Ovis aries: one gene and its partners. The protein of the gene in region 1 binds, or shares a complex with, the protein of each later gene. Links are inferred from orthologs where the notes say so. Each region holds a gene or a part of one and is shown in the gene's direction. Other genes may lie near its edges.

What was found.
Region 2: CWC22 (region 1) and PLRG1 share a complex: the UniProt entries of both Homo sapiens proteins name them as parts of the minor spliceosome. The link is inferred for Ovis aries from reciprocal best matches to the Homo sapiens genes CWC22 and PLRG1.
Region 3: CWC22 (region 1) and PPIL2 share a complex: the UniProt entries of both Homo sapiens proteins name them as parts of the minor spliceosome. The link is inferred for Ovis aries from reciprocal best matches to the Homo sapiens genes CWC22 and PPIL2.
Region 4: the proteins of CWC22 (region 1) and CWC27 are in contact, whole or in part, in a crystal structure (PDB 6YVH), measured with the Homo sapiens proteins. The link is inferred for Ovis aries from reciprocal best matches to the Homo sapiens genes CWC22 and CWC27. Residues at the interface, in NP_001362958.1 of Homo sapiens: Leu239, Arg242, Lys243, Tyr245, Arg246, Asn248, Asp249, Lys250, His270, Glu271, Val272, Leu275, Glu276, Thr279, Leu280, Leu281, Glu283, Arg284, Thr286, Asp288, Ser289, Val292, Val307, Ser308, Pro309, Arg310, Gly311, Thr367, Met369, Leu372; in NP_005860.2 of Homo sapiens: Arg381, Glu382, Asp383, Gln384, Thr385, Leu386, Leu388, Leu389, Phe392, Lys393, Lys395, Leu396, Thr397, Ile400, Glu412, Asp415, Asp416, Glu417, Gly418, Trp419, Met420, Ser421, His422, Val423, Leu424, Gln425, Phe426.
Region 5: CWC22 (region 1) and BUD13 share a complex: the UniProt entries of both Homo sapiens proteins name them as parts of the minor spliceosome. The link is inferred for Ovis aries from reciprocal best matches to the Homo sapiens genes CWC22 and BUD13.
Region 6: CWC22 (region 1) and CRNKL1 share a complex: the UniProt entries of both Homo sapiens proteins name them as parts of the minor spliceosome. The link is inferred for Ovis aries from reciprocal best matches to the Homo sapiens genes CWC22 and CRNKL1.
Region 7: CWC22 (region 1) and DHX16 share a complex: the UniProt entries of both Homo sapiens proteins name them as parts of the minor spliceosome. The link is inferred for Ovis aries from reciprocal best matches to the Homo sapiens genes CWC22 and DHX16.

What each region holds. Positions count from the first base shown.
Region 1 is NC_056055.1:130,122,429-130,125,877, forward strand, and holds the end of CWC22 (pre-mRNA-splicing factor CWC22 homolog), read left to right. Parts: intron 1-1,489; coding exon 1,490-2,058; 3' UTR 2,059-2,949; downstream 2,950-3,449. UniProt on the Homo sapiens protein: Required for pre-mRNA splicing as component of the spliceosome. As a component of the minor spliceosome, involved in the splicing of U12-type introns in pre-mRNAs. Promotes exon-junction complex (EJC) assembly.
Region 2 is NC_056070.1:3,083,558-3,087,057, forward strand, and holds part of PLRG1 (pleiotropic regulator 1), read left to right. Parts: intron 1-135; coding exon 136-244; intron 245-1,212; coding exon 1,213-1,352; intron 1,353-1,801; coding exon 1,802-2,073; 3' UTR 2,074-2,612; coding exon of another isoform or gene 2,613-2,672; 3' UTR 2,673-3,500. UniProt on the Homo sapiens protein: Involved in pre-mRNA splicing as component of the spliceosome. Component of the PRP19-CDC5L complex that forms an integral part of the spliceosome and is required for activating pre-mRNA splicing.
Region 3 is NC_056070.1:72,136,005-72,140,161, reverse strand, and holds the start of PPIL2 (RING-type E3 ubiquitin-protein ligase PPIL2), read left to right. Parts: upstream 1-1,357; 5' UTR 1,358-1,441; coding exon 1,442-1,473; intron 1,474-4,157. UniProt on the Homo sapiens protein: Has a ubiquitin-protein ligase activity acting as an E3 ubiquitin protein ligase or as an ubiquitin-ubiquitin ligase promoting elongation of ubiquitin chains on substrates.
Region 4 is NC_056069.1:14,808,222-14,811,721, reverse strand, and holds part of CWC27 (spliceosome-associated protein CWC27 homolog), read left to right. Parts: intron 1-3,132; coding exon 3,133-3,276; intron 3,277-3,500. UniProt on the Homo sapiens protein: As part of the spliceosome, plays a role in pre-mRNA splicing. Probable inactive PPIase with no peptidyl-prolyl cis-trans isomerase activity. As a component of the minor spliceosome, involved in the splicing of U12-type introns in pre-mRNAs.
Region 5 is NC_056068.1:27,154,194-27,157,693, reverse strand, and holds part of BUD13 (BUD13 homolog), read left to right. Parts: intron 1-630; coding exon 631-1,359; intron 1,360-3,000; coding exon 3,001-3,305; intron 3,306-3,500. UniProt on the Homo sapiens protein: Involved in pre-mRNA splicing as component of the activated spliceosome. As a component of the minor spliceosome, involved in the splicing of U12-type introns in pre-mRNAs.
Region 6 is NC_056066.1:39,182,176-39,186,185, reverse strand, and holds the start of CRNKL1 (crooked neck-like protein 1), read left to right. Parts: upstream 1-1,210; 5' UTR 1,211-1,311; coding exon 1,312-1,362; intron 1,363-4,010. UniProt on the Homo sapiens protein: Involved in pre-mRNA splicing process. As a component of the minor spliceosome, involved in the splicing of U12-type introns in pre-mRNAs.
Region 7 is NC_056073.1:27,451,663-27,455,720, forward strand, and holds the start of DHX16 (pre-mRNA-splicing factor ATP-dependent RNA helicase DHX16), read left to right. Parts: upstream 1-1,258; 5' UTR 1,259-1,414; coding exon 1,415-1,621; intron 1,622-2,958; coding exon 2,959-3,209; intron 3,210-3,292; coding exon 3,293-3,455; intron 3,456-3,748; coding exon 3,749-3,805; intron 3,806-4,058. UniProt on the Homo sapiens protein: Required for pre-mRNA splicing as a component of the spliceosome. Contributes to pre-mRNA splicing after spliceosome formation and prior to the first transesterification reaction.

The sequences.
Region 1 (3,449 bases):
TCAGAGAGGCAGCACTTCTCTTCACAGCCTTTTTAGTAGGTTGGTGAGGCTAGTCTTTACACACTTGTTTCTCTTCAGAGTGTTTTACATACTATGTGGCATCCAGAATTAGGGGACTCAGTGATTTATATTGTTAGAGCAAGACTCCATTTACTCACAGGAAGTTTTATTCTTAAGTTGAAATATACTAACATTGTTCATTTACCATTCACCTCTAAAGAATTTATTTCATGGTATCTGTTTTGAGAACAGATGATAACACAGCATGAACTGCTGCAGTAAGGAAGCTTGCTGATTCAAAATTAATTTGCCTCATCATACAATTTCAGTAGAGAGCTTTCAGTTTTATTAATAACATATTAAATAGCATAAAAGCAGTATGAACTTATACCAAATTAGAAAATTGTAAAGCAAACACCAAAGAGAGAGGAAAGTGCATATTATTGTCAGGCTCAGGTTTTGGTGTCAGGAAGCACCAAGTGTGGGATACAGAAGGGTCAGAGAGGCGTTGATTCTGCACAGAGCCAGATGGTTTCTGCTTGGGTGGCTGTAGTTCAGCTGGACTGCTTGATAGGAACCAGAGAAACGGGTCCTTTGTGGCACCCAGGACCCGTGGGTTTGCCATGGGTAGGGATTTGGCAGGAGAAATAGATGCTGGTACATTTGAGTGGAGGCAGGACGAAGATAGGCCGCTTTCCGACTTTGACGGAAATTGTGGTCATCTCAGTGCTTTTGGTTATGTGCCCGAAGCAGATAACACAAAGTGGCTAAGTGTGTTTTATAGCTTAAAATGGGTAAGATAGTTCATTCTAAGTGATATTTATATTTGTGGACAAACTGATAAAAGAAAAGTTTCGAGGCCTTAGAAGAGTTTTCTTAGCAATCAAGCCTTTGCAGCTCTCATAAAGCCTATGATTAGATTTCAACATAGTTTCTCTTTGCATAGTTACTACTTCTCTGGTAGCAGGACTCTTATTTTTGTAGACAGAGGTTTGTATTTGAAAAATATGTATTCCTGTTTTTACACAAACCCAGTCATCCCATTCAACCCACCTTTTAGGAAGTAATGTTGCTGGCATGTAGGATCATTATATTTTAATTATGTATCATCTCTGGCATTCTGTTTCATATGACATAATAGATATGGGCTGAAATTTATGTTTTGGATAAAATTTGTAAGTGGAAATGTACCACTTTAATCACTTTGTTAAAACTTTTACATTTGCTATATACCTTATTTTAAACATTTATTTATTTTAAGGATCAAAGCAGTTACTTCAGTAACTAATATATTGTATATTCTTAAAAATTACATTTTTTGTATACTGTTCTGTCACCAGATTTTGCATTCAGTCAATTTGACTCTTTATCCAGTTTTTCTGAATTAGTAAACAAACCTATAATGTATAAATAAATAAGATTTTTTTTCAGTTGTGAAATTAAGATTAAAATATAAGCTGACTAACTATATTTCATTTTACACATGCAGCTAAAAATGTAAGAAAGAAGGGGCATGGGAACCACAGAAGTAAAGAAGTAGATAAATTGATCAGGAAACAAGAAATGAATGATAGAAAACAAGAAGAAAGAAGGCCAGAGCATCGGCACCAGGAGACAAGGACTGAGAGAGAAAGGAGGTCAGAGAAACCCAGAGAGAGAGATTCAAGAGGCTCTGGAACAAAATACACTTCAGACAGAGGGATTCCTCCTGAGAGAAACAGCCACAGCAGAGCCGTGCGTGACAGAGACCAAGAAGCACGCATGGGTTTGGAACATACTCATGGAGATCCCAGAAAGAAACGGGAGAGGGGAAATTCTTTCTCTGAAAGTGAGCACAGACATCGAAATAGGGACAGTGAGAATTTTAGAAGGAAGGACAGATCCAAGTCAAGAGAAAAAAATAAAAAACATTCAGGTTCGAGAAGCGATGAAGATAGGTATCAGAACGGTGCTGAGAGGCAATGGGAAAAATCTAGCCGATACTCTGAACAATCCGGAGAATCGAAGAAAAATCAGGACCGGCGAAGAGAAAAGTCTCCAACAAAGCAAAAAAAATAATTCTGCAAAATCATAGAAACTGAACATGCCTTATATTCAGTTGAAACAAATTATTTTTTACATCGATTGACAAACTTTGTAGAGAATTATTGTATAAAGTACTGGTTTGTATTTGTACATTAAAAATGTTTTCTTTTTAATATGTTTTATAACTGATACATCTCAAGGCCTTCTACAAAAAATTATTTGAGAAGTTTCACCAGAGAGGGTTATAATTCTTGCCTATATTTTATTAATAAAACAATCAAAATGTTCATTGAATTGATGATTTTTTTATCAACAGTTTTTTTCTGATAATGTTTCTGATTGTTTATAGGATTATTATAATGAATTGTTAGTGACTTTTTATTTGTAACTGAAGACCAAAATAGATGAACCTTTTTAAGGTTTTTGCTTTGTTAATGAGATATTATAAACTTTTCTTAGGAGTCTTGCTTTTTTTTAAGTAGAGGAATTATTTTAAGTTTTATTTTATGTTTTTAACAAAATATGTATGTATAATTTTTTTTCAGAAGTGTTTCAGTGAAGCTAGGTGTATGTTAGTCTTTAAACAAATACACAGCTATCTTATTTAATAATTAGGACTTCTCTCATTGACAACATTTCTTTCTGGACTGTTAGGTTAACTGTTAATTGAAATTCTTTGTGATTAGTGCTTTTTCTCAGCCTTGAAGTTCTATCACTTGGTAAGTTACTATGTATTTAAGTTTTAATGTAGATTAATAGGTTATTGAAAAACATGCAATCATGAGAAATATATGCAAGACCAACTGTGAAATAATTTTAGGTTTTTTTAATAAGAATTTTAAGGGTTGCTATCCTTGTAACTCTCACCAGTTACTATGTGACCATATTATTTATTACTTTTGAAATAAAATATTGCCTCTGAAATTTTAGATTTGCTGACATTAAACCGCATTTACTAAATGAGCCATTTGTACTTGCTCACCTTAAGAGCATATAAAATCCATTTTAGGCAGTGTCCAGATTCAAGAATAATCTTAAACCATTTTTAAAAACCATTTTAAAGTTTGGCTTTTGGGCACACTCTGATTTATGTAAGAACTTGAGTATAGGGCTTCGCTGGTGGCTCAGGGGTAAAGAATCCGCCTGCCAATGCAGAAGATACGGGTTTGGTCTCTGGTCCAGGAAGATCTCACGTGCCACGGAGCAGTTAAGCCCGAGTTCTAGAGCCCACAGCTACTGAGCCTGTGATGTGGAGCCAAAGAGCGGCAACGACAGCCCACGCGCCGCAGCTGCTGAAGCCTGCGCGCCCGGAGCCTGGTCGGCACAGTGCTCGGAGCCACGCAGTCGGCGGCCCATGCACCACGGCTGGAGAAGAGCCTGTGCGGCAGCCGAGACCCGCACAGCCAAAATAGATAAGGTTACAT
Region 2 (3,500 bases), on another chromosome or scaffold:
AGAAAGCAGTTAGTCAAAGGTTGATAGGACTTTTGTTTTATATATATGTGTCTGTAGAAGAATGCTTCAGGTTTTATTATATTTACCTTTTGCATTCTTTTTTTCTGGTCTGTATTTTGGGGATTCTCCTTACAGGAAGCCATGATACTACAATACGATTATGGGATTTGGTGGCTGGAAAAACAAGAGTCACATTAACAAATCACAAAAAATCAGTCAGAGCTGTGGTTTTACATCCAAGACAGTAAGTCTGTTTTCCTAAGTAGCTTCTCTTCTTCCTTCAATTCTTAGTATAATTTAGAAATAGCAAAATTAGTACTACTTTGGTAGTCATTTAGTCATTTTTCCGACCTGTTCCATTTATGAGCTTGCATTTCCTTTATTTTCCTTGTGAAGTATTTTTCTTGTCCTCCATAAGATGAGGAAAACTTTCTACATAGTGAAAAATTATGTCAAATGAGATAATATAAATAAATCATGGTGACAGGCTGCATGTTGTAATGGAAGCTAATAGTTGCTAGATTTAAAGTTTTGGACAAAAATATTATTGGACACTGGACTGAACATAGAATAGTTAATTTCATCATGAAGAAATTAATATACATAGGAAAAAAATAGTAGGTATCATGAACATCATTCACAGAGAGATGTAGCATAACATCACAACCTGCTGTCTATAAAACCGTGTCCCCTGGTACTCCCAAGGTCTCCTGCCTATCCTCCCTCCTCACCCTCCCTGCATTTATCTTGTCTCCTCCTTCCGATCCCTGTCTCGCTCACTCCCTTTCTTCCTCTCCCTGACTCCCTTTTCTCTTCCTCTTGCCTCTTTCTCTCCTTCTCTCACGTCTTCTCTCTCCCTTCTTCTGGCTTTCTCGTTTTCTCCAAAACACTTAAATCACCCCTTGCCCTTCATGTGAGTTTAGGGGGTTATATGTTTATTGCTTTAGCTCAGTGTAGAGCACTGGGGAAATGAGAGGAGAATATAACTTCAATCTAGGACTTATCATACATTTAAAGTAATTTAGAAATCTGATATAACTTGGAACAGATCTTTTTATCTTGATATTTTTATCTTGGTATGACGATAATATTTTGCCAAAACTACATAAATCCTGATGATACATGCAAAATATAGCCATAATAAGATTTTTTAAAAATCCACCATTGTATTTAACTTTGTTTGCTTTATTATTAATTCTTTTCTTATTTCAGTTACACATTTGCATCTGGTTCTCCAGATAACATAAAACAGTGGAAATTCCCAGATGGAAGTTTCATTCAAAATCTTTCTGGTCACAATGCTATTATTAACACATTGACAGTAAATTCTGATGGAGTGCTTGTATCTGGAGGTAAAGTATTTTTATGATAAATATGTTTTAGTCTATCTTTTTTTTTAAGTGAGTAAAATTTCTAAGTCATTACACTGACGTATTAGAATAGAACTTGCCTGTTTAACATGTGTATTCATGCAAATTCATAATACATATAGCATATTTCATAGGTCAATTCTCTTTAAGTTCCCGCATTGATAAATCTAAGTTAAGGATTTATGCCAGAAATCACCTAAAGTTTGGTTGTGTGTTTTGAAGTTAAATGTCATTTTGTGGTGCTTTTTGAGATCTATAATAAATTATGAATTAAGCACAAATGAAAGTAGACAAATTGATATTAAGAGGAGCTCAAGTGCCTGTGTGTCTTTATAACTCCATGGTGCTTGGCTGATGATGGGTTCTTAATAAGTGTTTGTCAGGCTGAACTGTTGAGGGGACACTTGGTCTAACCTGTCTTTCCCTTTAAGCTGACAATGGCACTATGCATCTCTGGGACTGGAGAACTGGCTACAATTTCCAGAGGGTTCATGCAGCAGTGCAGCCTGGGTCTTTGGACAGTGAGTCAGGAATATTTGCTTGTGCTTTTGATCAGTCTGAAAGTCGATTACTAACTGCTGAAGCTGATAAAACCATAAAAGTGTACAAAGAGGATGATACAGCGGTAAGTTCTGTATTTCATAGATATTTTAAAGTAGAAAAAATCAGCTTTGCCAATTTTCCAGGCATTTTCTCATTTTAAAACTATTGAAATTATCAGGAGGGGAAATAATCTTCATAATACTAAAATATTTGTCATGTTGAATAGTGTCTGCTCGTAGATTGTTGCATTGGTTTTATTGATGACAGCAAATCCGTAGATAATTTTGATTGTATCTCAACTTTGCTTATTAGAGTTATTAAGAAAATCTTATCCTAAGAATAACAGCAAAAAAATAGATTGCTATGCAAATTAACTCTAGAATCAGAATCTTAGGTATTACTAGAATATCTAAAAACCATTAGATTTAAAATGAAACACCATAAACTGAATTTGTAGCAAATGCATTCATCCTTTATTAAATATTAAATATTATTTATCTTAATATTTATTATATAATAAATAATCAGATAGTGCCAGAAGTTCGTCACCTATCTTAAAATTGTTAAAGAACTGCTAAATGTGTAATGCCAAGTAATATAATTTAGAATAAGTGCCTTATTTTTGTTAGAAAGGAACTTATTAAATATGAAGGAGATCAGTAATACTTTGTTTTAACTTACTTACTTTTCTGTTTTTAGACAGAAGAAACTCATCCAGTCAGCTGGAAGCCAGAAATTATTAAGAGAAAGAGATTTTGATGTGTTCGTTGTCATTGCAGTTTTTGTTTTTTTGTTTCGTTTTAGCTTGGCCTTGATGAGAATATCCAGTCATTTGTGCTCTGGCTAGGAATATAAAGCAAAAACTCATGCTTGAATCATTGCATTTTCATATTTTACAATGAACTGTCCTTCCCCATGTTTTTATTTCTAAAATTAACAGTTTGAGATCCTAGGAAGTAAGATGTAGATATCAAGCATATGTGAGTTTTTTGACTGTAACTATCCTAAACAGAATGATTTGCCACTTCTATTAAAACACACCCCATTTTTTTTAACTTACAAAACTGCTTACTATAGTAGGACATGTTTTGAGGGGAGTAATCTTTCTCTTAAACCCTTAAATACTGGTATCTGTGATTGATATTTTGGGATTAAAGGATTTTGAAGTCTTATGTATGTTTATCTCACCAACAGTTTTTGAGCGCATGTTCTGCAAAGTTCTGCACTAGGTACTGTTCAGAAAGTATACAGATAAGATGTGTCTGTCCTTTAAGACTTCCACTTTTAGCAGCTTACTACAGAAATACTGTCATAGAAGTGCCAGTGAAAAACCAGGATAACACAGAGGAAGAGCCCATTTATTTTCCTTGGGAAGGATTGTGGAAGACTTCATGGAGTCAGTGGTGTTTGAGGTGAGTCTTGAGAGGTCACAGAAAGAAAGGGTATTCTAAGGCAAAGTGTGAGCTGAAAAACCAGACATATGAGAGGTGTATGTTCCAGGAACAGAGAGCTGTCTGCTGCACTTGAATGAGAACAGCTGGTGGCGGCAGGGAAAGCTTGTGTTTTGAGTTTCAGTTTTATTCCACA
Region 3 (4,157 bases), on another chromosome or scaffold:
TCGACCTGCATGTGAGATGTGAGTCCTCACAAAGTGTCCGATGATGCTGGCCGGTAGAGCAGATGTTGCTTGAGCTCTTGGGTATGCCCTGCACCTTGCTTGGGGCTTCCCAGGTGGCAAAGAACCTGCCTGTCCATGCAGGAGACGCAAGGGACACCGGTTTCATCCCTGGATTGGGAAGATGCCCTGGAGGAGGGCATGGCAACCCACTCCAGTATTCTTGCCTGGAGAGCCCACAGACAGGAGCCTGGCGGGCTGCAGTCCAGAAGGGTGGAAGAGAGTCAGTCGCAACTGAAGGGACAGCACGCAGCTCGCAGGCACTTTGCTTGTGACTGGAGATAGCAGACGAGCAGTTGGGGTCCTGGCTCTTGGGGAAGCCATGTCTCCCTGAAGAGAGAGAGAGGGTGTGTGTGTGTGCGTGCGTGCGTGCGTGCATGTGTGGCTAGACAGTACACAGATGGATTAGTACAGGATTACAAGTGGTAACAAGCCCTTGTAGCTGTATGGGGTGACTGGCTGGATAGTGGTACTCTGAGGAGAGTGGACCCTAGAGGGGGAGGAGGAGAATTCTGCTTTAGCAGACATACTGAATTCGAGTTCACTGGGTTGCCCGAGTAGAGGGCAGGAGTCTTGAGTGCTGGCCATTTAGCGTTGGGAGTCAAGCGATACAGGCGTTTAAAGCCGCGAGCCCGGGCAAGGTCACCCAGTGCTTGAGTGTAGGGGGAGGTCTGAGGCTTGGCCTGGGGCACCCCAACGTGGTGGTCCGGCCGAGGGAAGAGGCCGAAGGGATCACGAAGGCTTTGGACCTTTGGGCTTGATGGCCACCTGCCCCTGGGTAGCCCAGGAGAGGGGGCTGCAGGCAGTGCGGTCCCGGTGAGCGGTGAGAGGGCGGATAGCGAATGTGGGTGTCCATCTGGAGGTGCCGGCCTGGGGCAGAGATGGGGCCAAGGCCGGGGGAACTTCCGGGCTCCAAGCGGAAGACCTGAGAAGCCAGGGCAGACCAGGGCGGGTTTGGGATGGGATGGCGTTGAGCTGCGACCAGGCAGGCAGGCTAGGTAGGCGGTGCACAGAAAGCTGCAGAGACGGGGAGGCTTCGACGCCGAAACTGCTCAGCCCCCGGGCGCGGGGAGCCCCCGGGCGCGGGGAGCCCCCGGGCGCGGGGAGCCCCCGGGCGCGGGGAGCCCCCGGGCGCGGGGAGCCCCCGGGCGCGGGGAGCCCCCGGGCGCGGGGAGCCCCCGGGCGCGGGGAGCCTCCGCGCCCGGCGGGCGTGCACTCGGGGTGGGGGCGGGGGCAGCCAGGGACCACAGTTCCCGGCGTGCTCAGCGCTTGCTTCCGGGGCGGTTCGGCGAGACCCGGAAGTAGTTACGGAGTTCGTCCGAGACGCCGCGGTCGGAGGTGTGCTTTTCCCCCGTCTTCTGCGCTCGCTGACCCTGCCGTCGCCATGGGGAAGCGACAGCACCAGAAGGACAAGATGTGAGTTGAGCCGCCACCGCCGGGAGCGGGCCTGTCCGCCCCGCGCCCCGCCCCCGAGCTCCCGAGACGCCGCTTCCCCGGAAGCCTCCGCCGCTCCGCGCGGGTTTCCGGGGCCCCGCGCTCTCCGGCCCGCCGACGCCGCCTCGCCGGAAGCCTCCGCGGGCTCCCCCTCCGGCGCGGGTCTCGGGGGTCCAGTCCCCTCGGCTCCTCAGGCTCGCCAGCTTTTCCCTGGGGGCGTCTCCTCGGGCGCGGTGGTCGTCCCTCGTCCCCCAGTCCGCTCCCGAGCTCCAGCATCTTCCAGTTAAACCCACTTGGGCCCCCGAGCTACCGTCGAATTTCTTTGATTTTCTTAACCGCCAGACGATATTCAGGACCGCTTTCCTTTAGGATGGACTGGTTGGATCTCCTTTCTGTCCGGGGGACTCTCAAGAGTCCTTTCCAAGAGTCTTTTCCGATGGTTTGGTTTTTACATGTGTGGATGTAAAAGTTCGAGTATAAAGAAGGCTGAGCGCCGAAGAATCAATGCTTCTGAACTGTGGTGCTGGAGAAGACTCTTGAGAGTGCCCTGGACTGCAAGGAGATCAGCCCTGGGTGTTCATTGGAAGGACTGATGCTGAAGCTCCAATACTTTGGCCACCTGATGCGAAGGGCTGACTCATTGGAAAAGACCCTGAAAGATTGAAGGCGGGAGGAGAAGGGGACGGCAGAGGATGAGATGGCTGGAGGGCATGGGACCTCCCTCAGTGGACAGTTCAGTTCAGTCGCTCAGTCGTGTCCAACTCTTTGCGACCCCATGAATCGCAGCACGCCAGGCCTCCCTGTCCATCACCATCTCCCGGAGTTCACTCAGACTCACGTCCACCAAGTCAGTGATGCCATCCAGCCATCTCATCCTCGGTCGTCCCCTTCTCCTCCTGCCCTCAATCCCTCCCAGCATCAGAGTCTTTTCCAATGAGTCAACTCTTCACATGAGGTGGCCAAAGTACTGGAGCTTCAGCTTTAGCATCATTCCTTCCAAAGAAATCCCAGGACTGATCTCCTTCAGGATGGACTGGTTGGAAATCCTTGCAGTCCAAGGGACCCTCAAGAGTCTTCTCCAACACCACAGTTCAAAAGCATCAATTCTTCGGCGCTAAGCCTTCTTCACAGTCCAACTCTCACATCCATACATGACCACAGGAAAAACCATAGCCTTGACTAGATGGACCTTAGTCAGCAAAGTAATGTCTCTGCTTTTGAATATACTATCTAGGTTGGTCATAACTTTTCTTCCAAGGAGTAAGCGTCTTTTAATTTCATGCCTGCAGTCACCATCTGCAGTAATTTTGGAGCCCCCAAAAATAAAGTCTGACACTGTTTCCACTGTTTCCCCATCTATTTCCCATGAATTGATGGGACCAGATGCCATGATCTTCGTTTTCTGAATGTTGAGCTTTAAGCCAACTTTTTCACTTTCCTCTTTGACTTTCATCAAGAGGCTTTTTAGTTCCTCTTCACTTTCTGCCATAAGGGTGGTGTCATCTGCATATCTGAGGTTATTGATATCTCTCCCGGCAATGTTGATTCCAGCTTGTGTTTCTTCCAGCCCAGCGTTTCTCATGATGTACTCTGCATGTAAGTTAAATAAGCAGGGTGACAATATACCACCTTGATGTACTCCTTTTCCTATGTGGAACCAGTCTGTTGTTCCATGTCCAGTTCTAACTGTTGCTTCTTGACCTGCATACAGATTTCTCAAGAGGCAGGTCAGGTGGTCTGGTATTCCCATGTCTTTCAGAATTTTCCACAGTTTATTGTGATCCACACAGTCAAAGGCTTTGGCATAGTCAATAAAGCAGAAATGTTTTTCTGGAACTCTGTTGCTTTTTCCATGATCCAGTGGATGTTGGCAATTTAATCTCTGGTTCCTCTGCCTTTTCTAAAACCAGCTTGAACATCAGGGAATTCACGGTTCATGTATTGCTGAAGCCTGGCTTGGAGAATTTTGAGCATTACTTTACTAGCATGTGAGATGAGTGCAATTGTGCGGTAGTTTAAGCATTCTTTGTCATTGCCTTTCTTTGGAATTGGAATAAAAACTGACCACTGCTGAGTTTTCCCAATTTGCTGGTATATTGAGTGCAGCACTTTCACAGCATCATCTTTCAGGATTTGAAACAGCTCCACTGGACTTCCATCACCTCCACTAGCTTTGTTCGTAATGATGCTTTCTAAGGCCCACTTGACTTCACATTCCAGGGTGTCTGGGAGTCGGTGATAGACAGGGAGGCCTGGCATGCTGCGATCCATGGGGTCACAGGGTCAGAGGCGGCTGAGCTGAGCTGTCTGAATGGCGAGATGAGGACGATCCCCTGTGGTTTTCTGCCTTCCCCTTGACCCCGCTTCAGTCAGCGTCTGCCCGCGTTGCTCCTGTCGGGATCCCTCAACTCCGGGGGCGGCTCCATCCGGGGGTCAGCTCTCTGTCCTCGCTTCCTGGGGCGTGCCGGACCACCGCTCTCCCTCTGAAGCCCTTCCTCGGTGTCTGGGACACCACTCTCTGTTTTCGGGTTTCTTCAGAGACGGTGCTCTCTGGGTTCCCTCTCCTGGGTCCTCTCCTCCCCAGACCTCCTAGGTCTCCTCCCGCCGCTTCCTCTATTTCACACTCTCCTCGGGTGATGGCCCCAGCCTGGCTTACAACACCACCC
Region 4 (3,500 bases), on another chromosome or scaffold:
AGGTGGTAATGAGCATAATGTGAATCAGCGAAAAGACTGTATAACATTTTTCCTGATATCTGATTATCTGATCTTTGTAACTTTGCACATGTAAAACATTTCTAGAACATTGCATATACCATTTGATTTTAAAACATTTTATTTTAACAATACATAGAATTTATATTAATTTACTTGAGCCACTATAACAAAGTACTTCTGACTGGGTGGTTTAAACAGTAGCAATTTATTTCTCACAGTTCTGGAGGCTAAGAAGTCTGAGATCAAGGTACTAGCATTCACCACCTGTGAAGGTTCTCTTGCTGGCTTGCAAATGGCTGCCTTCTTACTGTGTCTTCACATGGTGGAGAGAGAGCGTTTTGGTGTCTTTTCCTCTTCAGTATAGTCACATTGGAGGTTAGAGTGTCAACATGAACTCCAGGAGAACATAGTTCAGTCCAGGGCAGAATTCATTTTAAACTGTACGCAGTAGACCTTTGTAGCACAAACTGCATGCCTTAATAAGAAATCACAAAATGCATGCCATAACACGGGGAAATGAAAGAAACAACATAAAATATGTTAGAAAAAGATGTAAGTTTTAATCAAGAATAGGTCAATGCTTTGTTAACTGCCAACACAGATCTAAAAAGAAAGAGTTAATGTTATATTTACGATATTAAGGATAATGGTGGGTTCAAGTAAAGGCTAAAAGCTGGGTTGTTTATCAATCTTATGGTATCAATATTATGTTCTCTTAGTAAACATCAGTAGCTCTTAAAATATGTGAATTTTTAAAAAATTCACATTTATACTAAAAGGATAGAGTGTCTGGAATTTCCTTTAAGTTTATACTGGGCTACTATATGACTCTTGAGAAAAATATTTGAACTGTTTGCTTTAATTTTCACATGATAATGGCCTTTAGAGCACATGAAATAGTTTTGAAAATCTCAAATGTCACTGTTAGACTATTTTATATTTTACAAAATTGAGATATCTTATAATTTTAGAGCCTCCATCTGTTAGGAAGCATTCCTTTATTATTTGGTTAACAGAATAGCTCTTGTGATGATTCCTTTCTAAATTGAGATTTTTGCTTATTTTATTCAGGTAATACAGATAAGTTGGTAAAGTTTTAAATTAATTTTATTTAATTTGGGCTGTGCTGGGTCTTCGCTGCCGTGTGGGCTTTTCTCTAGTTGCGGTGAGCAGGGGCTCTCTTCCTTTTCAGTGCATGGGTTCAGGAGTTGCAGTGGCCAGGCTCCAGAGTGCAGGCTCAGTAGTTGTGGCCCACCGGCTCAGTTGCTACATGGCATGTGGAATTTCCTGGGACCAGGGATCAAGCCTATGTCTCCTTCATTGGCAAGTGGATTCTTTACCACTGAGCCACCAGGGAAGCTTGCTAAATTTTTCAGTTAGGTCATTTTGAATACAGTGTACAGAGTTATGATCTTTTGAGTTTAGATCTCTTGAGAAGAATTTATTAAAGGAAAAGAACTTTCTTTCTGAAAAGCATTGATTATAAAACATGTCTACATTAAAAGCGAGTCTAGTATCTGCTCTTCTGTTGACTAAGAGACTGGTGTAAATGTTAGGTAGCCCTACCCTAGTAAGAAAACCACCTTAGAATGGCTTGCTCTTGCTTTTTTTTGAAAACTACCAAATGGAACCAGTGCCAGTTCAAAGAAATTTAAACTTAAAACTTTAAAAAGCATAGTAAAGCACCTAACACCATCACACTAGCTTCCTTGAATTAAACAAATAAGAAAACAGTTGTTTCATGACATTCAGAAAAGGATCGAGAAGAGAATAGTTGAAGCTTCTGAAGTGAAGTGCAAGTTGCACAGTCATGTTCGACTCTTTGCAACCCCATGGACTGTACAGTCTATGGAATTCTCCAGGCCAGAATACTGGAGTGGGTGGCCATTCCCTTCTCCAGAGGATCTTCACAACCTAAGGATTGAACCCAGGTCTGCTGCATTACAGGCGGATATTTTACCAGCTAAGCCACAAGGGAAGCCCTAACCATTAATTCAGATTTTAAAATGTGGCTTATTTTTTAAAGTGATAATGAAAGTCACTCAGTCTTCTCTGACTCTTTGTGAACCCATAGACTATACAGTCCATGGAATTCTCCAGGCCAGAATATGGAATGGGTAGCCTTTCCCTTCTCCAGCGGATCTTCCCAACCCAGGAATTGAACTGGGGTCTTCTGCATTGGAGGCAGATTCTTGACCAACTGAGCCGCAAGGGAAGCCCATTGAAGCCTCTATAATGACTCAAAAGTAGTTATCCTGGAGAAAAAAGAAATAGATGGTTCTGAAAGCTTGGAAGGAAAGTTATGACCAACCTAGATAGCATATTCAAAAGCAGAGGCATTACTTTGCCAACAAAGGTCTGTCTAGTCAAGGCTGTGGTTTTTCCAGTAGTCCTGTATGGATGTGAGAGTTGGACTGGTGAGTGCAGAAGAATTGATGCTTTTGAACTGTGGTTTTGGAGAAGACTCTTGAGAGTCCCTTGGACTGCAAGGAGATCAAACCAGTCCATCCTAAAGATCAGTCCTGGGTATCCATTGGAAGGACTGATGTTGAAGCTGAAACTCCAGTACTTTGGCCACCTGATGCGAAGAGCTGACTTATTTGAAAAGACCCTGATGCTGGGAAAGATTGAGGGTAGGAGGAGAAGGGGACGACAGAGGATGAGATGGTTGAATGGCATTGCTGACTCAATGGACATGGGTTTGGGTGAACTCTGGGAGGTGGTGATGGACAGGGAGGCCTGGTATGCTGTGGTTCATGGGGTTGCAAAGAGTTGGACACGACTGAGTGACTGAACTGAACTGAACTGAACTGAAAGCTTAGATGGCTTTGAGGGATGAGAAGAATAGGGAAATGTCTCAGAAATCCATTCCCCTTGAGTAACCTTGCTCAGTGTAAGTAGGCAACTTTCCACAAAAAATTTGTGTTTGAGTGTATTTAGAAGACACAGGTGAGTAAAGTCAAGATTAGTAGATTGAAGGAACTGTAGATATTGGATTTGATTATATGTGAAAATCAGTAGAAGTTGTGTGGGACCTTGTTTGTTAGCTGATATATGAAGGGCCTTATAACTGAGGACATTCACTAAATCTTTGTTTTTTTAATGCTTCAGGATGAATTCCATTCACGGTTGCGTTTTAATCGTAGAGGACTGGTCGCCATGGCAAATGCTGGCCCTCATGATAATGGCAGCCAGTTTTTCTTTACCCTGGGTCGAGCTGATGAACTTAACAATAAGCACACCATCTTTGGAAAGGTTTGTATCCAGTTATCTTAGGTTTCTATGATGTATGTGATCAACTTACCTAAGAGCTGCCTTCATAAAAATATTCCCAATGATATTTATTTATTATTTCTAAAAATGGTGAAATGCTCTGTGTTCCTGTTATAGTGAGCTGTGAGGGACTACCTGAATTTTTGTCTGTGTGTTTCAGTCCAGTCATTGACTTTTAACTTAAAATTTTTATTTTTTCTAAAATT
Region 5 (3,500 bases), on another chromosome or scaffold:
ATAGACATGGGCATGCAGCAGGTGATCAGTAAAGTGCTGATCCTTCTTTCTTTCTGGTGCTCTTGCTGCTTTTGATAAGGAGCACAATGGCATGGATTAAATAGCTCACAGGATTTCATTTTGATGTGGCATGGAATTATTCAGTTTGCCTTTTGAGAGAAGAGTGGGTGCAAACTGAATTGCCTAAGTTAGATATCAGTGGGAGCTTCTCATGGAGAATTCCATACAAGTAAGGTTTGGGGAAGAGCACTGGATTGGGATTAGAAGTTCAGGGTTCTAGCCTGTCTCTTCGTTTTAGTAGCAGTGACCCCTAGGTAGGAGACCACTCAGCTTCTTAGGGTCTCTGTTTTCATGTCTGTAAAACAAGGGTACCTGCCCTGCTTGCCTAACAAGATACAACATGAAAAATACATTTAAAGTGCCTTGCAGATTATGACCTGTTAGGCAAACGTGAGTGGTTTTTCTTAGGATATTCATGAGTGCTACTTTATTGCCCTGAAGTAGCTGTGCGTATCTTTTGGGCTTTCTTAGTAGTTTTGAGATGTATCCTGCTGGGGTGTTTTTTGAAACTTTGGTTGTAGGGGTGGCAGAGCATTTGTGGGAATCTGATTCTTTGCTATTTGTGTTTAGGCCAGAGTGAAGATATACCCTCACACAGACAGTTCTGTCATGACATCCCGGACTCATCTCCTCCTAGGAAGGTTCGTCATGACACCCCAGATCCATCTCCTCCTAGAAGAGTTCGTCATGACACCCCAGATCCATCTCCTCCTAGAAGAGTTCGTCATGACACCCCGGATCCATCTCCTCCTAGGAAGGTTCGTCATGACACCCCGGATCCATCTCCTCCTAGGAAGGCCCGTCATGACACCCCGGATTCATCTCCTCCTAGGAAGGTTCGTCATGACACTCCGGATTCTTCCCCTCCTAGGAAGGTTCGTCATGATACCCCAGATCCATCTCCTCCTAGAAGGACCCGTCATGACATCCCAGATTCATCTTCTCCTAGGAGGACCTACCACAGTTTCTCAGATCTCTCTCCTGCCAGAAGGGCCCGTAATTGCTCCCCTGACACAGCTCAACCTAGAAGGACTCTTGACTCTGTGGATAGATCACAGCTCAGGAGGGCCCATCATAATTCCACTGACTTGGCTGCTAATGTTCCTCACTCACTGCTCAGAACCAAAAGCAGTGAAGCCCCAGAAAGCTCTAGCAAAACTTCTCCACATTGGAAGGGGCCAGGACCTTCTCATCCATCACTCCCAAAGAATAGCAAATATGAGTATGACTCAGACCTCTCTCCTTCACGAAAAAAGCAGGCAACATCCCATGTTGGAAGTAAGCAACATGATTCTAAAGGTGAGCATTTGTCCATGAGAGGGACTTGTTCCTAGAGTGCTTTCTTTTGGAACTTTTAGTTGCTTTACTAGGTATTTGTGGTCTTTAGAAATGAGAATGGAGCTTTGGAGTTTTAAAAACTGGAGGGAAATAGTGAGAGATTGGGCTGAAGAGAGTTAAAAATTAATAGTAGTAGGGTAGAAGTTTATATATATATTTTTTTGTTCATTTTCCCCACCCCATGAAAATACTACATGTTTGTTGCAGAAACTTTGGAATGTATAGAAATGTAGAAAAGGATCACACACAATTCTGTCCAGTCAGAGGCAGTCTCTCTCTTGTAGCCAGTGTTCTTTTAGTCTTCTTTTCTAATCATTTTTGATGTAGTTTGGACGTGTCTAGGCAGTAAGTAAATATTGCATGTGTAATCTTGCTTGCTTTTTTCACTTAGCATTATCTTTCCTGAGTCATAAAATATCTCTTTGTTAATATAGTTTTTGTTGGTGTTCCAGTAACCATTCCCCTAATATTGCATATTTTAGGTTATTTCTAAACCTTTTCCTCTGTAATTCTGTAATGAACATCCTTATACACAAACTGTTGCTCTGTTCTGGATTTCCGTATCTATTTCTAGATAGACTTTCTGGGAATTGAAGTGCTGCTAGATACGTTTCCTAGGGTACAAAGTAGAAATTGATTTGCTGGCTCAGCCGGGTTCTTTGCTTATAGGACTGTTGATAGGTATTGCAGATTGCCTTTGGAGGAGGTGATTTGTGATGCCTATGTCTACAGCTCACCTGTGTGATGAAACTTGTTTGCTCCATCGTTTGTCCCTAGGTACTGCTTTAGTTTTTAATTCAAATACATTGTTATGTTTTAGTCAGAAGACCTCAGAATATATTCTGTGTGTGTGTGTTAGTCACTCACTTGTGTTTGACTCTTTCTGACCGTAGCCCACCAGGCTCTTCTGTCCATGAATTCTCCAGTAGAATACTGGAGTGAGTTGTCACTTCCTCCTCCAGGGGATCTTCGTGACCCAGGGATCAAAGCTGGGTCTCCTGCATTCGGGCAGATTCTTTACCATCTGCGCCACCAGGGAAACCCAGAATATATTCTAATATATTCTAGGTCATCTTAACTTGCTAGGGCTTCCTGGGTGGCTCAGATAGTAAAAGAATCTGCCTGCAATGTGGAATACTTGGGTTCAATCCCTGGATCAGGACGATCCCTTGGAAAAGGGAATGGCAACCCACTCCAGTATTCTTGCCTGGAAGATTCCATGGAAGAGGAGCCTGGAGGACCACAGTCCATGGGGTTTCAAAGAGTCGGATACGACTGAGCGACTAACAACGCCACTGAGCCCTGAGTTCAGTTTGTTTTGGCCACTCTATGTGTGGGTAAATAGGGCACAGATGAGGATGTTGAGATGTCTTGTGCTAGTCACAGTAACTAGTGCTAGTAACTAGTAACTTGGGAATAGAACCCCACCCATTGGTTTTAAAAGTTATCTCTGACTTTGCTCTTCCCCCTTGTCATTTATACTTACGTTTAGGTTAGTGATAGTTCCTCACAAGAGGACTAAATGAATGTTGAACATTAGCCTGGTACATTATTTTTTAGATTCTGCCAAGGGGATTAAAATCTTTACTCTTCAATTTCTAGGCTCTTCCCCCACCCATAAGAAACATCATACAAGCTCTCCACCCAGGAAACATCAGAGTCACACATTGGACTCTTCTTCCTACCCAGGGGACAGTAGGAAAACCTCTGATTCAGATCTTTCTCCTCCACGGCACAAACAGAGTTCAGGGCCCCAGGATTCCGATTCCGATCTGTCACCTCCGCGGAATAGACCTAGGCATCGGAGCTCTGATTCTGACCTCTCTCCACCAAGGAGAAGGCAGAGGGCCAAATCTTCTGATTCTGATCTGTCTCCACCTCGAAGGAGCCAGCCTCTGGGAAAGAAGGTAAGAACTTTCAGGAGCCATGTCTTGGTTTAGAGGAACTCATCTCCTAGCTCTGTACAGGTCTCAGAGATCCAGGCCAGAGAAATCTAGCTCACAGGACCTCTAGAGCGCTTTTCTTCTCTCTGAAGGCAAGACTGTCTGACTCAGTCCAGGGGAACTTGCAAGGAGCAGATTTCCTAAATAGCATCTGCCTTT
Region 6 (4,010 bases), on another chromosome or scaffold:
TCACTGCAGGATGATAACTGCAGCCATGAAATTAAAAGATTCTTGCTCCTTGAAAGGAAAGCTATGACAAACCTAGACAATATATTAAAAAGCAGAGATATCACTTTGCCACAAATGTCTGTATGGTCAGAGCTATGGTTTTCTCCATAGTCATGCACAGATTTGAGAGCTGGACCATAAGGAAGGCTGATCACCATAGAATTTATACTTTCTAGTTGTGGTGCTGGACAAGCCTCTTGAGAGTCACTTGAACTGCATGGAGATCAAACCAGTCAGTCCTAAAGGAAATCAACCCTGAGTGTTCATTGGAAGGAATGAAGCTGAAGCTCCAATACTTTGGCCACTATATTCAGAGAGCCAAGTCAGTGGAAAAGACCTGATGCTGGGAAAGACTGAAGGCAAAAGGAAAAGGAGGTGGTAGAGGGTGAGATGGTTAGATGCAATCACTGACTCAACGGACATAAATTTCAGCAAATTACAGGAGATAGTGGAGGATAGAGAAGCCTGGTGTGCTACAGTCCATGAGGTCGCAAAGAGTGGGACCTGAATTCGCGACTCAATAACAACAAAAGTTAAGCGAACTGGCGCTACGAAAATTGACATTAAGACACAATGACAGAAAATTTTAAATATCTGTTTATCTGATATTATTTAAGATTGATATATTACATTGCTTATCTGACATTATAAGGCTGGGTTATTTGCTAGTACTCCGATGATTTATTTTCACTTTTTTCTGTTATCTGGCTTTAAAATTCCTTCAGTCACTTTCATTTATAAGCCATAGAATTATTTGGTCACAACTGTCCGGAAACCAAGGGGCAGTTGACCATTCGGGCCTACAAAGCCCAGAATGCACCCCAGCTCAGGGCGGCCGAGGAGGTCAGCAGCTTGCCGCTAGGTATGCCAGGAGGTAGTTTTCTACCCCACCCCCGCCCTCGAGCGTCCGCACGGTAGCCGGGTTCCTGTCCCCTTGCGGGATACCGCGATTTCACGGATCCACCCGTCCTCGCACGGTCATCCTAATCCCAGAGGCGATCTGAGGATGTGCCCCTGACGGCCCGGATGCAGCCAGCACTCCTCACCTCACCTGCAACTCCCGAGTCCCAGGCTCCGAAGAGGACGCGCAGCCCGGTTACCACAGAAACGACGTTGACTCCGTCACGGCGCGGGAAAGAGGTCAAAGGTCGCCCCAGCCAGTTCCGCTTCCGGTTCCGGGATCCCGCTTGTTGTCGGAAAGTTGCGCGGTGTGGGCGAGCCCTCGGGGAAGGTTCTGTGGTCCCGGGCTCGCCCGCGGTCGCCGCTGCAGCCATGGCGGCTTCCACCGCTGCCGGGAAGCAAAGGATCCCCAAAGTGGCCAAGGTGAGCGGCTCGGGGCCTTGTGGGAGGAGGCCGGGGATGGGGTTGGCCCGGCCTTGGTGGTGCCTGGGGCGGGAGGCGTGTGGTCCCTGGGGCGGGAGGCGTGTGGTCCCGGGAGCTGGTCCTCCCTACCTGAGCGGGGGCCGCGGGCGGGGAGGGCCAGCCGGGGATGGGGGTCACCTCCGCGTCCGCGTGGTCGTCGTGTTAAAAAGTGTTTATCTGGGGGAGGAGAGAGGTTCTTCAGCACAGACACGCTGAAACAGACACTCGCTAGTCGCTGGGGCTCCGGGTAGAGCGGGCTACGAGCTACCCTGCGTAAGGGTAGAACTGCAGCCTTGCAAAGGCTCCTGAGCCCCAGAGGAATAGGCCGTGGCTTCCTGGGCTCGTGTGAGGGGTCTCCAGCGCAAGAAGTGATGATTAAGCTGTGCTGAAGGCTGTAATAGGAGTCAACCCCGGGTGAGAGTGGAAGGAGTGAAAAGAGATGACAAGGGCTGTATTTTGGTTGATCTCACTTTTTCCGTCGGCGGTTAATACTAAAGTTCAGTTCAGTTCAGTTCAGTCACTCAGTTGTGTCCGACTCTTTGCGACCCCATGAATCGCAGCACGCCAGGCCTCCCTGTCCATCACCAACTCCCGGAGTTCACTCAGACTCACGTCCATCGAGTCCGTGATGCCATCCAGACATCTCATCCTCTGTCGTCCCCTTCTCCTCCTGCCCCCAATCCCTCCCAGCATCAGAGTCTTTTCCAATAAGTCAACTCTTCGCATGAGGTGGCCAAAGTACTGCAGTTTCAGCTTGAGCATCATTCCTTCCAAAGAAATCCCAGGGCTGATCTCCTTCAGAATGGACTGGCTGGATCTTCTTGCAGTCCAAGGGACTCTCAGGAATCTTCTCCAACACCACAGTTCAAAAGCATCAATTCTTCACAGTCCAACTCTCACATCCATACATGACCACAGGAAAAACCATAGCCTTGACTAATGGACCTTAGTCGGCAAAGAATGTCTCTGCTTTTGAATATGCTATCTAGATTGGTCATAACTTTTCTTCCAAGGAGTAAGCGTCTTTTAATTTCATGGCTGCAGTCACCATCTGCAGTGATTTTGGAGCCCCCCAAAATAAAGTCTGACACTGTTTCCACTGTTTCCCATCTATTTCCCATGAAGTGATGGGACCAGATGCCATGAACTTCGTTTTCTGAATGTTGAGCTTTAGGCCAACTTTTTCCTTTCCACTTTCACTTTCATCAAGAGGCTTTTTAGTTCCTCTTCACTTTCTGCCATAAGGTTGGTGTCATCTGCATATCTGAGGTTATTGATATTTCTCCCAGCAATCTTGATTCCAGCTTGTGTTTCTTCCAGCCCAGCATTTCTCATGATGTACTCTGCATATACGTTAAATAAGCAGGGTAACAATATACAGCCTTGACGTACTCCTTTTCCTATTTGGAACCAGTCTGTTGTTCCATGTCCAGTTCTAACTGCTGCTTCCTGACCTGCATACAGATTTCTCAAGAGGCAGGTCAGGTGGTCTGTATTCCCATCTCTTTCAGGATTTTCCACAGTTTATTGTGATCCACACAGTCAAAGGCTTTGGCATAGTCAATAAAGCAGAAATAGATGTTTTTCTGGAACTCTCTTGCTTTTTTGATGATCCAGCGGATGTTGGCAATTTGATCTCTGGTTCCTCTGCCTTTTCTAAAAACAGCTTGAACATCAGAAAGTTCACAGTTCATGTATTGCTGAAGCCTGGCTTGGAGAATTTTGAGCATTACTTTGCTAGCGTGTGAGATGAGTGCAATTGTGCGGTAGTTTGAGCAGTCTTTGGCATTGTCTTTCTTTGGGACTGGAATGAAAACTGACCTTTTCCAGTCCTGTGGCCACTGCTGAGTTTTCCAAATTTGCTGGCATATTGAGTGCAGCACTTTCACAGCATCATTTTTCAGGATTTGAAACAGCTCAACTGGAATTCCATCACCTCCACTAGCTTTGTGCGTAGCGATGCTTTCTAAGGCCCACTTTGACTTCACATTCCAGAATTTCTGGCTCTAGGTGAGTGATCACATCATCGTGATTATCTGGGTCATGAAGATCTTTTTTGTACAGTTCTTCTGTGTATTGTTGCCACCTCTTCTTAATATCTTCTGCTTCTGTTAGGTCCATACCATTTCTGTCCTTTATCGAGCCCATCTTTGCATGAAATGTTCCCTTGGTATCTCTAATTTTCTTGAAGAGATCTCTAGTCTTTCCCATTCTGTTCTTTTCCTCTATTTCTTTGCATTGATCGCTGAAGAAGGCTTTCTTATCTCTTCTTGCTATTCTCTGGAACTCTGCATTCAGATGCTTATATCTTTCCTTTTCTCCTTTGCTTTTCGCCTCTCTTTCTTTTCACAGCTATTTGTAAGGCCTCCCCAGACAGCCATTTTGTTTTTTTGCATTTCTTTTCCATGGGGATGGTCTTGATCCCTGTCTCCTGTCACGAACTTCATTCCATAGTTCATCAGGCACTCTATGTATCAGATCTAGTCCTTTAAATCTATTTCTCACTTCCACTGTATAATCATAAGAGATTTGATTTAGGTCATACCTGAATGGTCTAGCGGTTTTCCCTACTTTCTTCAATTTGAGTCCAAATTTGGCAATAAGGAGTT
Region 7 (4,058 bases), on another chromosome or scaffold:
ATCCAATTAATTGTACAAGTATGAAGCAGAACCAGAGGCCAGACAGCAGTCAAGCAACAAGTTCTGCTTATTTAAAATTAAGCAGACACCAGTGACTTTCTCAAGCTGTTAGCAAAAGAAAAAAAAAGCAGAATACAATTTGCATATTTCTTAGTTTGCAGATCTTTTAAAATAACATTATGAGATAGCACCAAGAAAAGAGGGTACCTTTGCTTGTTCTCCACATCTTGAGTTTTCATCTGCCTGGAGTCCTTGATAAGCCTAACCTGTATTCATGTCTTGCAGAAGGTCCTAGCAAAGGTCACTCCTAATTAGTTGATCTGTAACAAGCATGGACCTGATCTTCTAATTTGAATGCCCCACCCCACAAGCGCCCACACACACCTTGCATTATTTTTGGCTCCATATAACTTAGTATTTTATATTTTTATCTTGTCTCTGTCAGGCTGGTCCCCACCCCCAACCCTCTGCCACTGTAAATTCAGTAAGCGATTTGTTTCTGATTTGTTCCTTGCTATATCCCTGGGTACTAAAACTGTGCCTGGCCCACACTGAAAGTGTTGGTCGCTCAGTTATGTCCGACTCTTTGTGACCCCATGGACTGTAGTAGGCCAGGTTCCTCTGCCCATAGAATTCGCCAGGCAAGAACACTGGAGTGAGCTACCATTTACTCCTCCAAGAGGGTCTTCCCCACCCAGGGATAGAACCTAGGTCTCCTGCATTGTAGGCAGATTCTTTCCTACCTGAGCCACCGGGCATTTTGCTGCTGCTGCTGCTAAGTCGCTTCAGTCGTGTCTGACTGTGTGACCCCATAGAGGGCAGCCCACCAGGCTCCCCCATCCCTGGGATTCTCCAGGCAAGAACACTGGAGTGGGTTGCCATTTCCTTCTCCAATGCATGAAAGCGAAAAGTGAAAGTGAAGTCGCTCAGTCGTGTCCGACTCTTCGCGACCCCATGGACTGCAGCCTACCAGGCTCCTCCATCCATGGGATTTCCCAGGCAAGAGTACTGGAGTGGGGTGCCATTACCCACCTGAGCCACCAGGCACTTTAGGTTCTTAATATAGTTGAATGAAATGAATGGGTGTAATACTCACGAATGATCAACAGAGGGCAACAGAAATTCAGTAGGGGAAGAAATGAAAATGTTTTATTCCGAGCTTCGCGTACAATTACGCGAGATTTGAACTCGCTCGGCCACCGTAGTGCATAGGCCGGAAAAGAGCAGCCACTTCCGGCCTCAGCGGTCCAGGAAGATTGTTTTGGACTATCGGAAACCGAACCCCTCGGTTCTCAGGCAGCTCCATTCCGGAGCAGAGGCTCCATCCTGGAGCTCTAGGCCCCCGACCCGCCCGGCCGCCGACGTGGCAGCTGGAGACACTTTCAGGGCCGGGAATAGGGAGCGTGTTGTCGCCATGGCGACACCGGCGGGGCTGGAGCGCTGGGTGCAAGACGAGCTGCACTCGGTGCTGGGACTGAGCGAGCGGCACGTGGCCCAGTTCTTGATCGGTACCGCGCAGCGCTGTGCCTCGGCAGAGGAGTTCGTGCAGCGCTTGCGAGACACCGATACCCTGGACCTCAGTGGGCCGGCCCGGGACTTCGCCCTGAGACTCTGGAACAAGGTGCTGGGAGAGGCGGGACCGGGCGTGGGAGCGGCGGGAAAGTGGGTGGAGCAGGGGAGGGGCCCCCAGGTTACTTGTCCAACGGAGTTTGGGCTCACTTGGGCTAACTGTCCAACGGAGAATTAAGCTCAGTTTGCAAGCAGTTATCACTTTCGGGCTGGACGACCACTTCCGTGGAGAAGGTTGAGGAGGGCTTAAGGGTTGACTCATTGGAAAAGACTGATGCTGGGAGGGTTTGGGTGGGGGCAGGAGAAGAAGGGGACGACAGAGGATGAGATGGCTGGATGGCATCACGGACTCAATGGACGTGAGTCTGAGTGAACTCCGGGAGTTGGTGATGGACAGGGAGGCCTGGCGTGCTGCGATTCATGGGGTCGCAAAGAGACGGACACGACTGAGCGACTGAACTGAACTGAACTGAACTAAGGGTCTACAGAGCAGTGTTTCTCAAACAGGTTTAGGATTCATCCACGGCTTTTGTTAAAATGAGGATTCCGATTCGGTAGGTCTGGGATGGTTTCTTCATTTCTTCATTTCTAACAAATCTTGTAAGTTTTCGGGTGATGCTGGGTGTTGCCCACCCTTCGAAGAGTGAGTCTATAGAAGAGATGTGTGGGCAGTGTTGTGGGAGGGTAGAAGTGGTGTGGCTGTGATCGAGAAAAGCAGGCCCAAAGATTATCTGGAGTTTGTTGGGTAAAGAAAGGGGAAGAGTAAAGGTGTAATGGTGAGCTCCTGGAAGGCAAGACTGTGATTTTTGTCTTTGTATTCATACCATCTAATTGTAACCTGCAGAACAAGAGCTCAGAAATTATACAGTAAGACTAAAAGTGTTGAACTTGTTCATGGCAGATAACTTGGTGTGGCTGTCCCATTTGCACTTGGTGAAAGATGAGAACGTACTTGATGTGAGGGTAGGAGCTCTGTGTTAATCCGTTCACCAGGGTATCTCTGGAGGCCACTACAGTGCTGGCCCGTGACAGGGCTCTGCAAAACAATCTGGACAATCCTTGTCCAGTCCTTGGGTAGGAATGACTTAGTCATCGGGAAGAACAGAGGCTGAGCAGTTGAGAATTGAGTGTGAGAATGTAAAGTCCATGAGGGCAGAAAGTTTTATCTCTTTACCCCTATATCTCTAGTACCTAGCAGGGGGTGCATGGGATAGGCTTAGGAACTGAGAGACCCCATTCGGGCTGATGGACATGGTGTGAAGCCTTGGGGAAGAGACAGAATGACAGCTGGTTTAAGATCAGTTACTCCTTAAATTAGGAACTGGGCAGAGTAGGTGGGCAGAGATCAGGAGTTGCTTACATCCCCTTGACTTCTCTCTCTCCCGACAGGTCCCACGGAAGGCAGTGGTGGAAAAGCCAGCTCGGGCAGCCGAGCGAGAGGCCCGAGCCCTGCTGGAAAAGAACCGCTCTTATATGTTGTTGGAGGACAGTGAGGAGAGCAGCGAGGAGACTGTGGGCAGGGCTGGGAGCAGTGTCCAGAAGAAGCGGAAAAAACGGAAACACCTCAGGAAGAAACGTGAGGAGGAAGAGGAAGACGAGGAGGAGGAACAAGTTTCTGAGAAAGGAAAGAGGAAGACAGGGTAAGTCAGAAGTAGGGGGCGAGAGGGTGATGGAACAGGAAGCCTCTGAGTGCCCTCAGTTAATCCTCCGGGGTGGGCTGCAGGGAGAAGAAAGAGCAGACGGAAAAGCCGGAGTCGGAGGATGAGTGGGAGCGGACAGAGCGAGAGCGCCTTCAGGACCTGGAGGAACGCGATGCATTCGCTGAGCGGGTTCGGCAGCGGGACAAGGATCGGACTCGCAACGTCCTGGAGCGGTCAGACAAGAAGGTGCATTGGAGCAGCACTTCCCATCAGTCCCCAGGCAGACCCCTGGATCCGATCTGAGGTTGGGTGTGACCGCAGATAGTGATCTCTGGGAAGACAAGGAGCCGCCTCCAGTAGTCTGGTCATCTCTTTGGGTCTTTGGGCTAAGGTGGCTCTCTGCTGAACCTGTAACCACAGAGATTCCTCAGTGAAGGGGGTACATTTCTTTGTGCTAGGGAACATCTGAGTGATCCTTGTGATTCTAGACAGGAATGGCTGTGGGCACGGGGACTTTGACCACTCTTGCCTTCTCCTAGGCTTACGAAGAGGCTCAGAAGCGCCTCAAGATGGCTGAGGAAGACCGGAAAGCCATGGTGAGTCCGTGTGCCCAGGAAGACAAAGGGAAAGGCTTCCTGATGGAGTGGTTAGGGTAGGGAGGAAAGATGCAGAGGAGGTGTGGTGGGGCTGTTGGGTCTCTGGTTGAGGCGCCAGCTAAGGATAGACTTAAACTGTAGTGGGAAGGAAGTGGCCCAGAAACCCTCTGACTCCTTAGGATCAGATCAGACTGTATGTTAGTGAGGGAAGTATTTCCCTGTTCCTGGGACTTAAAGAGGTGTACTCAAAAGG